Sus scrofa: one gene and its partner. The protein of the gene in region 1 interacts with the protein of each later gene in a pairwise test. Links are inferred from orthologs where the notes say so. Each region holds a gene or a part of one and is shown in the gene's direction. Other genes may lie near its edges.

Evidence for each region.
Region 2: the proteins of PUM2 (region 1) and DAZL interact in a two-hybrid assay, tested with the Homo sapiens proteins (2 studies listed by BioGRID and IntAct). The link is inferred for Sus scrofa from reciprocal best matches to the Homo sapiens genes PUM2 and DAZL.

The regions. Positions count from the first base shown.
Region 1 is NC_010445.4:117,922,779-117,928,089, forward strand, and holds part of PUM2 (pumilio homolog 2), read left to right. Parts: intron 1-2,292; coding exon 2,293-2,436; intron 2,437-2,555; coding exon 2,556-2,837; intron 2,838-5,311. UniProt on the Homo sapiens protein: Sequence-specific RNA-binding protein that acts as a post-transcriptional repressor by binding the 3'-UTR of mRNA targets.
Region 2 is NC_010455.5:3,780,338-3,786,390, reverse strand, and holds the start of DAZL (deleted in azoospermia-like), read left to right. Parts: upstream 1-2,542; 5' UTR 2,543-3,659; coding exon 3,660-3,662; intron 3,663-6,053. UniProt on the Homo sapiens protein: RNA-binding protein, which is essential for gametogenesis in both males and females. Plays a central role during spermatogenesis.

The DNA.
Region 1 (5,311 bases):
GTGGCTATAAAAAGACACACGCGCACACACACACACAAATTAAAAATCCCTAAGTAAAGGCAGCCAATAGAAAAATGGGCCAAAGATATTTGAATTTTCCAAGAGGACCTCGAAACGCTTAATTAGCATATGAAAAGATCCTCAGTCTCCTTAGTAATGGGGAAGGAAAATCAAAACCACAGCAGAATACTGCATATCTTCCAGATTGGGCAGTTTTTAAAAGTGACAATATCAAGTATTATTAAAGTCATGGAGGTGTTGCCGATGTGGTGCAGGGGGTTAATGATCTGGCTTGTCTCTTTGGAGGGGCTGGTTCTGTCCCAACCCCAGTGGGTTAAGAATCATGCATTGCTGCAAGTGTGGCTGAAAAAGGAAAAATAGATAACGTGATAGAGCAGTGGGAACTCCAGTACTGACATGGTAAGAGTGTAAATTTGCACAACCTCTTTGGAGTTAGTTTGAAATTGTTTACCAGAGTTTGAAAATATGCATACCCTGTGGTTCAGGATGTCAACTACTAGATATATACCTTAGATTGGAGAAACATGTACACATAATACCAGAATATGTGTACAGGAATGTTTATGGCATTATTGTTGTCAGTGGCCCCAAACTGGAAACAGGGTAAATATAGAATGGATAAATTCATTGTGTTTGTCCATTGAGATTCTGTACAGTATTGAAAATGGAAACTGAAAGGTCTGTAATAGAACTTGGGTGAATTGTACATAAAAATTTTTTAATAATTAAAACCAAATTATTGTTTAGAGAGAAGTATTTATGGAAAGTAGAATATTGTGTAACTCTGAGGGAAAGAAAAGATTGTGATAGAGCAGGGATTTATGAAAGGTGTTGCTAGGCAGTTTTCTGTTGAGCACCTTAGATGGTAGTTACACTTGTGTGTTGTCATTATTGTGTACTGTTGATTTTTGTACTTGTGTGTTTTATTTCATAATAATAAAGTTTTTAAACACTTAAGTATCATGCTCTGCTAATCACATTTTCTGATTAAGAAAAAAATTATTCTCAGCTCCCTTTCTGTAGCTCCCCTCTGGTCCTTATCACAGCAAAACTCATCAGAAGCATTTCTGTACTTGTTTGTGTTTCTTCACTTGTTTACTAAACTTACCACAGTTTGGCTTTCATCTTTACCAGAATGGCTTCGGTGTTGCTAAATCCATTGGTCAGGTTCTCATCTCTTAACCGGCTTTTAGCATCCTTTGGCATAGTCGATTACTTAGTCTTCACTCACATTCTTTTTGTTCTTTGGCCTCCAAGCGACCACATTGTTCCAGTTTTCTTTTTTCTCACTGGCTGTTTCCTCTCAGTCTGTCTCTTCCTGGTTTCTTCTCTCTTCAGCCTCTTAATGTGAAGTACCTTCAGTCCATAGGGCCTACCTCCTTTTTATTTTCTTGGTGATTTCATCCTTTTTATTTATACTGTTCTTATGTTGACTACTCCTCGATTTTTAATTCTAGCCTGAACCTCTTGTAAAGTCTAGGTTTCTATGTCCTATTTGATAATTACAGTTGGATATTTAATAATCTCCTCAAATTTATCATGTTAATTCCATAAGGAGAGGGCTGGAAAGCTCTACATCCCCTCCTAGGTTTTGCCCTATGCATTTGCCTGGTCCTCCTAATTCATATTCATTATAATAAAACTGAAATTGTGAAGCATAATTACTTCATTTAATCAAAACAACCTTTGCATGGGAAAGATAGCATTTAAACTTAAAAGGGTCCGAGGTTGCCAGTACATTTTTGCAAGTGGTTGTTGGATTTTTGAGCTGGAGTCCTTGTTACTGTATAAGACAGCCTTTCTCAACCTAAGTTCTTGGAGAAAATCCCTATGACCTGTATAGTTAGTTAACTTACTCTCCCATGCATCTAGAGTGGTACTTGTTATACATCCTTGAGAAAACTGGCAAAAACATCACTTTTCTGTTCAAAATAGACATTTTCTGTTCTGTGATTCAGATGAGGATCCCTTCTGAGAAAGGCTACTAAGAGAGAAACTTCACTCCTATAGATCTGAGTAATGCAGATCGTCATCTGCCTTGTGTTCAAGGCTGTAATAAAACTAATGCTTATGTGTACGATCCTACATTTTCATATATTTAGTAATACCTTCTCAGATGTGTTTGGTCTTTATGTGGTAACTATTTAAGGATTTTTATATTTACAGTATAAGTAGCTCTGTTTTCTGATTGATAGAAACACAAATGGGGGAAATGCATGTTTTCTATAATAAATATTTTCATTGGTGAACATTTATTTTAATATTATCTAGGCTATCAAGTACTAGCTCCAACTGCCTATTATGATCAGACTGGTGCCTTAGTGGTTGGCCCTGGAGCAAGAACTGGCCTTGGAGCTCCAGTTCGATTAATGGCTCCAACACCTGTTTTAATTAGTTCAGCAGCAGCACAAGCTGGTAAGTATAACTGATGTTTTAAGGGGTAATATTTTTCTGGTGTTGTTTGAGATATTTTAAAAATAGAAAATGGTTTTCTGGGTAGTTTTAAGAAGTATCTGAAATTTATTTTACCACAGCGGCGGCAGCAGCTGGAGGAACTGCAAATAGTCTAACAGGCAGCACAAATGGTCTATTCCGGCCAATTGGCACTCAGCCACCACCGCAGCAGCAGCAACAGCCAAGCACTAATCTGCAGTCTAATTCATTTTATGGGAGCACTTCTTTGACTAATAGCTCCCAGAGCAGTTCTTTATTTTCTCACGGACCTGGCCAGCCTGGAAGTACATCTCTTGGCTTTGGAAGCAGTAGCTCTTTGGGTGCTGCTATAGGCTCAGCCCTCAGTGGATTTGGTTCATCAGGTAAGTTTCTTTTTAAAATGAGTGCACTCTGTTGATTGGACCTGAGGTATATGTATTTGTTTTTAATATTAAGATAAACAGTAATAGCTTATAGTGCAGAAAAGACAGGAGTAAGATGCCAGTTGATTGGTTTAATTTTATAGAAGAAAAAACCACCTCCTGCAACATTTATAAGTGTTTAACTCATTTCAAGCAGCCCATCCTTTACTCAAATATAATACATTTTCCCTGGCTTTAAGAATTATATTACTCTAATTCTGGTTTTAGTAAGGTTTGTCTGGGACAACATATATTATGCTAATTATTAGCTCTTCCTTTTTCCCTACATAATGTTGCTTAAGGAAGTAAGTATTTTGCCATCTTAAGTTTCTAGTGTTTTTAAAATAATAATTATCTTTGCTCATCAGATGATTTATTATTAAATGCTAATAGTTATTTATGGTCTTTGCTATAAAATATAATGGAATGTTCTAAACAGATGCCCCTAAGAAACTACCAGTAGGCTTATCTTTATTTTAAACAGCTTAGCCTTTATCACTAAAAATTCATTGAAAAGGATTTTTTTCCCATATTCTCATTTTATGTTCAGTAGTTAAGAAATCCAAATTTAAATAGCTTCACAAAATAAATAATTTACCCACACAGACTGATTTTGTAACTGAGGAAGCACCAAATTCAGAGACCCACATTGATACCCTTGTACATACTCTGATATTCCCCGAGTATTTGAGTATTTAGGAAACATGGGGAAAGACATCTTATCCTCATTTTCTTGGCACGATTGATAGCCTTTTCTTTATGAGGGGCAGGACCATTTAGTCAGACTTCAAGGGATTTTTTTTTTCCCCCTGGTGTCCCAGAGACTTAAAATCTGCTTCTTATATATTTTCCCACCACATTAAATTATATTCTTCTCTGGTGTGGAAAATGGCAGAACACGTGCTAGTCATTACTAACTATGCTTGCCAGTATTCTAAGAAAATAGCTTCTGAACTTTTTAAACATTTCATATTTCTAAAAGGGATAGCCTAGAACAGCTATAACCTTTTAGTGCAGAATGCTTTTTTTTACAGTGAAATACAGCAGGGAAATATCATGTTTGCCTAATACAAAATTACGTAAAGAATGGGCACAGGAACTTCTGAGGGAAAATCTAGTGATTTGAGACTACTTAGTCCTTTAATTTTCCTGTTTGAATTTTTTCACTCCTTTTGGAACTTAGTATTTTTATCTCCAGTCCAAGCACTCCCATAGATGCATTTTTTGTTTCTCACACAGTTGACAAGCATTTTCCCCAAATAATCCCAAATTGCTAAAGCAAATTGAAAGGACCTATAACTTTAAAAAAGAGAAAAAAAGCTTGATGGAAATAACTGGTTTCTGAACAATACATTTTAGACCCTTAAATGAGCCAGTAAAAATAGAGAAAAGGTTTGATAAATCTTATGTTCCCTTTTCTAATAAAATGTCACTTACAGTCTGATACAGATTTGTAGCCCCCCCTTACCCAGTTCTTCCAAATTCCTATTTGTCCCTTAGTTAAGACGCATCCCCCTGCATTCAGGAACTATGTTTATATGCCCATGTACACACACAGTAACATGTACACAGTCATTCTCTTACCCATATGATGAAATTATAAATGCTTAACACTGTTAAATACTCCAGTTTATAACACAACTTGCCAGGAAGCTTAGCCATTGTAATATAGTAATTAAATCATCCTTTCTGTGGCCCATTATTTAGAATGTTCTTTTACATTCGAAAGTTTGTAATTTAACTTCTTATACATACACAGTTGCTAAATGATTAGTGACTCCATTGTCTGTCTAGCCTCTTAGATATTTTAGGTATATTTTGTTTTATATTTTATAATCATACCGTTGCAGATAATTGAGGCATTAGATAATTTAAGTAGCCAGCCAGTTTATGTGTAAAGCTATTTCTGCAGTACTTTTAAGTGTTTGGCTAAGCTTTTCCTTTTTAGAATAAAATAATATTGCATGTGTCAAAGCTGGTTTCTTTGGTTATTTGCCAGGAGAATGATAGTGCTGCTTCTCCCATTAGAGAGCTATTGTCTTTTTACTTGTCTGTTAAACTGTTTTCTGAAATAAATAGAAATTTTAAATGTAGCCATGTTTTAGAAAAATCACTTTGACAGTGTCCTTTTAAATTAGCATAGTTAATGTAGCATATGTTGACAATTTTGCCAAAACCATCTCAAGAACTATTTCTTACAATAGTGTTTATTTTACTTTTTGCTATTAAAATGCATATAGTTACTTAGTGTTTCCCTACAATATGATATCTTAAAAAGTGAAAATTTCAATAAAACATGATCAGTCTTTCAGAAACCACACTGGCTATTTTTAAATGTTGAATACTGTTTATATAATATTTTACTTAATGCAGTAGCATGAGCCTGGTTTTTTTCCTTTATAGAAGTTTGAATTTGGTTAAACCAGTGTAATTAA
Region 2 (6,053 bases), on another chromosome or scaffold:
TCAAACTTAGTTGCCTATTACAGTAATGAGAAAATTTTTTTTTTTTTTAATACTAATGTCTGGGTCTCATCCTCAGCTGACTTAATAGGTCTGGGGTAAGGCCCGAGCAATATGAGCTTTTAAAAGCCTCCAGATGATTCCAATGTATTCAGATAACATCTTTTACTTCAGGCTCCAACTTCCTGTCACTTTGTAAGGTTATTTCTTTTTTCCAAATCCCCAGATTTCCACTTTTCCAGGCTTGCTTCTTTTCCCCCTTCAAATTCAATTACTTTTGCTTATTATGCAGAACCATTTGACACTCCAGCCCCTAGGTCCTGGGACCTAACTTTGCATATCCTAAGACTGGATAACAGTTCACCTAATCCAGTATTCTCCTGTTGTTCTGGGACAGTGTGATCTGAAGTGATCCACGGACAAATATTGTTTTAAATTTTAATAGTTATATATTTTAATGTGCATTGTTTTAAAAAAGTAACACAATAAGTCTGATTTCATAAATAATTTTGCTTAGGACGAGTTTTAAAAAAATTAGGTAAAGAGTAATATGGAGATCAGAATTTAAATTATGAAATTGGCTTGCAAATGAATGAAGTTTGAGATGTTTATACTGCTTATTGTAAGCCTTCTATCCAAAGCCACAAGCTATAGGAGCACAAAAGAACTGGCAGAGGAGTTTAAAATATTCTTTTTTATTCTACCATTCTCTATCAGTCTCTGCAGAATAAAGAAGCAACAGAGACTTATTTCTGAATTTATGTGAAAGACACTACTGATCTTAACCCATTGAAATAGTTATAGTCAATTTTGATCTTAAATCACAATTCTTTTTCTCTACATTAAGTGAAAATTTCAAAATGTTTTAAGGAAAAACCACCAACCTTTGAAAAAGTCATGAGCTAAACAAAAATAACTAAGAATTGCTTACGGGTTGTGAAAAATAGGTTAAATTCATTAACTAGTTAGTCTTTGGCAAGACAATGGGTGAAATTTTTTAGAACTGTTGAAAGCTAATCCACTAATCCAGAGAGCTCAAAAACTCCTAAGCAGGAGAAATTTTTAAAACTCTACACCTTGTCATATCATCATGAAATTGTAGAACACAGAAGAAAAACAGATCTTAACCAGCAATTAGATTGACAGCAGATTTCTCAGTAGCAACAGAAACCAGAAGATAACAGAATATGTTTAATATTCAGAGAAAAAAAGGACAACTGCTAACCTAGAATTATATATCCAGTAGAATTATCTTCAATGAACAAGGGCAAAATAAAAGCATTTCAAGTGGGAAAAAAGCCTGAGTTTCCGCACATGACACTAATTAAAGGAAATTCTATAGAATTTACTTCAGGCACAAGGAAAACAATCCAGAAGATCTGAGATATGCAAAGAAATGGTAAGCAAAACGTTTTTACACATGCAGGTGGATCTAAAAAACACATCTAATTTACAGAAGGAAAACAGGATAGAACCAAAATAGCAATTAATAATAGCTTATAAATTGGAGGGGGTAGCTAAGTTAAAACATCCTGAGGCCTTTGAATTATTAGAGAGTGAAAACATTTCCTGGTTTTAGACTTTGCTTACAAGTTATAAAATAGTAGAAAAATCAGCTTAAAATATGCACAGTGTGTATGACTCCAAATAAGAGAAAAAGACCCACACCCAAATCCACATGCACACAGACGCCAAAAGAAGTTTCTTTTGTAAGTTTCTGACATTTTAGTCTTCATTGTCTGCCATTCTTATTCATGGGAAAATAGCATTTGATAATTTTTCACTGTGAGGTTAACTTTAAAGGGTTCTTTTCTTAGAAGAATCCTTTTCAGCCTTTTATGGAAGCATCCCTCCAGGTTGGTTTTCTGTTTGCTTCTGCCAGGCATTCCAGTTGCACCTTGTTTGGATCTTTTTCGGGGAGAAGGCCAAGGTTAAGGGGAATCAGTTTCTAGGTTTTGAAGTCCCAACACTACATAAGTGCTATAAACATAAATTCCAAACTTGTGAAATGCAGGTCTAGAGTTGTAAAATTTTATCAGAGTTAATTTTTTTTTTTTTAACCCAGAAATGGAACAAGCTTCCTCACCTGCTTGTCCACTGGATGTTTAACATTTTCCCTAGCCCATCTTTTTCTTAAACTGATGTCTCTCATGGAGGATAGCTTTTCATAGTGTACTCAGTTCCAGCAACTATCTTAAGTTACTTCAAACCCTTACTTCCTGCCCCTATACTTTCAGGCTTCAAGTTATAGAGACTAACAACACCTTGCCCACACCTAAGATGACCAAGTCTTCTGGTTTGCATTGGACCTGCTTCCCAAGGATGTGAGGGTTTTCAGTGCTAAAACCATGCAAGCCCAGGGCAAATTAGTTGACTGGTTACCCTACACCCCAGCCCTTATACCCAGGGCCAGAAAAGAATTAATTCAAGAACTTATTGCTCTGATTTTCAGTTTAACTCTGGCATCCTGGGATTCCCCTTCATTTCTTATGAGTTTAGCTGCACATTAAAAATAAAGTTAACTATATCATACAGTAATGCTAGATATTTGTGACCAGTTGGCCACCATTTTGCCAGCTCACAAAGTAATCCTCAGTACAAAAGTGAAGTTTGAGGATAAGTTACAGCCAGTTATTCTCTGTGGATATAAGGTTCTGGAGTGGTTTCCAAAGTTGTGTGATTTGCTCTGCAAACTGCCCCATAGCTCGCCCTTGCTCTAGGCCCTGTTTCTCTGATCTTGAGAATGTTCTAGAATTCTCTAGGCAGGCCTAACTTCTTCCTTTAAGGTCAGGAAGAAAAATCCCCCCCCTTCACAATTTGAACACCCCCAGCAAAGGAACGTTTGGGTATTTTATTCACTCCTACATTTTGGGTGCCTGGCAATTGTTGATCTCAATAACTTGTTTCTGGAAAGAACAAACGTCTTGAATGCCAAGCGGGCCTGCCTACCTGATGTTTCCAATCCAACCCCATCTCCCTCACACTTGAAAGAAAGTCATCCAAGTTTCTGGACTTTTGATGTCTCCCTCCCTGTTCTTCATATATGTCTTTCTGTTTTCTATTTCTGTTGCCATTTAAATTGATTTGGGGGCTGATGATAGGGATAATCGCCATTGGGCTATTCCTGGGCCTTTGGGACGCCATTTTGAAACTAGAGCCTGGACACATTCAAATTTTGTTTTTAATTTTAACACATATTTGAGTGTGCAGACTTATTTCAGGTGTGCTTCTAAGGCACTTTCGGGACTTTCTGTATATCTGTGGGTCCGTCGGCACGCCCTTCGGGAAGTGGCGCCTCTAAGGGGTATGCTGTCGGCCCGCGCGCACCCCTTGCGCACCCCTGGCTGGCGCCGCCGTGCCCCGCGAGCCCCCTCTGAGGGGGGCGGGGGCGCGGCCGCCCATTGGCTGAGGCACCTCGGACGAGCCCCCCCACACCCCGCGCAGGAGCCACCTCCGGGCGCCCTGCTCGCCGCGCCTCAGTCCGCCAGCACCCCTCAGCCTCGCCAGCTGCCTGCGGGTCGCTTTGCTTATCCGCTTCTGCTTCCTCTGCCCACTCGAAGCCGGACAACAGGCACCAGCAGGCCTACAGCAGCCCCGAGCACGGTGCTGAAGCCAGCCTCTGCTCCTCCAGTCCCTCGGTGGGAACACTGGCTGTCGCAGTAATGGTGAGTGGAGGAGGCCCGAGGCGGTCTGGGGGCGGCCTGGGGGGCGCAGCCCGAGGAGAGGGTGAGAGCTGGGCCGCCTCTGCTTTGCTCTCCTGGGACGCCAGCCTGAGGTGGGTGGGGAGGGAGGCCGCGGTCCAGCGGCCGAATACCGGTCTCGGCCTACAGGGCCCTGAGGGCGGCAGAGAGGCGGGAGGCCTGGCTGTCGAGAGGCTGGGAGTGCCCGGCCCGCCAAGCACGTGCACAGCGGCCGCCTTCCCACCACCTCCGCCAGCCCCGACCGGGTTGGGGGGAGCACCGGGCCATCCGGTGAGGGGACTGGGGGGCGGGGACCCTGCTCCCGCCCCACCCCCACCCCACCCCGGAAGTCCCTTTCCCGCGCTTACTCTGAGTAGAAAATCCTGAGGAGACGAGCGGCGCGGCGTCCGCGAGATGGCGTCAGGCCCGCGCGAACGAATGCCGGCTGGCGTGGCCTCTGAGGTGCACGCGCTTGCGGACCCCGACCACGGGCCGGGAGCCGACTCGGGAGGTGGGGTTGGGGCTGGGTTTGGTGAGGACTGTGGGGGGTGTCGGAGAGGAGTCGGGGCGGGACGGGACTAGGGCCGACTGAGGCCGGCAAGTGTCACCCAAACGAAGCCTGCAGTGGCCCTGTGACGCCCTTGTGAGGCAGCGGCGACCTTGGGCGGAAGCTAGCTCGCCGCCATTGCTTCTGCACGACGTCAGCGCGGCTTTTGCCGCTGGGCGGCCGCAGATTGGGGAAACGGAGGAATTCTTGGCTCAGGGAATACGTTTCCCCTTAAAAAAAAACCCAGGAACTTGCAACACCTTGTCTATTAGAGTATTACACGTGACATTCATGTGAATTTTCTAAATGCAGACAGTTGATTGACCACCTCAAGGTACAACAACGCTGAGCACTTTTGACCAACCATCAAGTCCCAAATGTGTTATATACTAGGTGTAGTTTACAGTATAATAACTATTAGTCTTTCAGTTTTTGGAGATAAAGGGAGGAAATTTATGTACCATTTATATTGGCACAAATTTTAAAATAAAATTTTATTGCATGTAACTACTTGTAACATTTTTGTGTCATGTAGTTACCCATGTCAGTAATTACTTAATAATTACTCTGAGTTACTATAATCATTTACAATTTTGTCCTCCCCATTTTTAGAGGAAAAGAGGGGAAATGTTAATAGCTTTGTTGATTTTTATTCTGGTATAAAAGTAGCATATTAACTCATTGGGAAGTTATCAATGTAGAAAGTAGAGTCCATCTTAATCGCAACATCTAACCACCGTTGAAGTTTTTACGTATGTGTGCCCTTCCAAATTATTTTCATGCATGTGTTGCATCTAGACAGGTACATTTTATTTTATTAAAATTGTACCATGCTGTATTATACTATTTTACAACCTGCGTCCTTCACTTAATATACTGGGCCTTATTCCAAAGAGAAATTTAAAACGATTTCAAATACATAATGTTAGAATATAGGATTGTTCCATTACTCATTTAGCCAAATTCTGGTATATGAATTATTTTTCTATATTAAAACAATATTATATTGAGTTATTGCGTATCTTTGTGCAGATGTTTTGTTATGCTTATTCTGTTAGTAACTTGAAATGCCACGAGTAGAATCACTGGGTGAAAATGTTATGCCCATTTTATAACAACTATGAATTATGATACATCTTTCCTACTTACTCTTCATAAAGCATGTACCAGTATATATTCTCACTGATGGTGTGTAATGTGACCTCCTCTCTCCACTCTTTCCAATGAAAGGCATTATACTTTATAAAATTGCCAATCTAATAACTGGAAAATATTTCACAGTGTTGATATGCTTTTTTTATTTTAATTATTACTGAATTTGAAGCTTGTAATTAGCTTTTTACATTTCTTTGTAATAAATTCTTAGTCCATCTTTCTATTTGGATATTTTTCTTATGATTTATAAGAACTCTGTTACTATATTTGTCATATATGTATTATTTATAGAAAAAACTTATAGTGGTTATGAGGAAAAACCGTTAGTCCTAATTTCAGTGGAAATCATTATCATGTTTCACTTTAAGCTTGATGATAACTTAGAATTAGATTGATAGAAAATAAGATTCTTTTACTTAGGTTTTTAAAAATTAAGAAATGAATACTGTATTTGTCAAATGCTTTTTCAGTGGTGAATCGCAGTAACAGATTTCCTAAGAATGAACCATCCTTGAATTCCCAATATAAACTGTTCTTAATTGTATGTTTTTTTGTATACTGCTAGAATTTTGCGTCTCTATGTTGGAGGCATGGGTGGATCATCTTAAGCAGGTTTTGTTATTTAGATGGTGTTAGTTTATTTGTCTTTCCTCTTTACTCTGAAAATTTTTTAA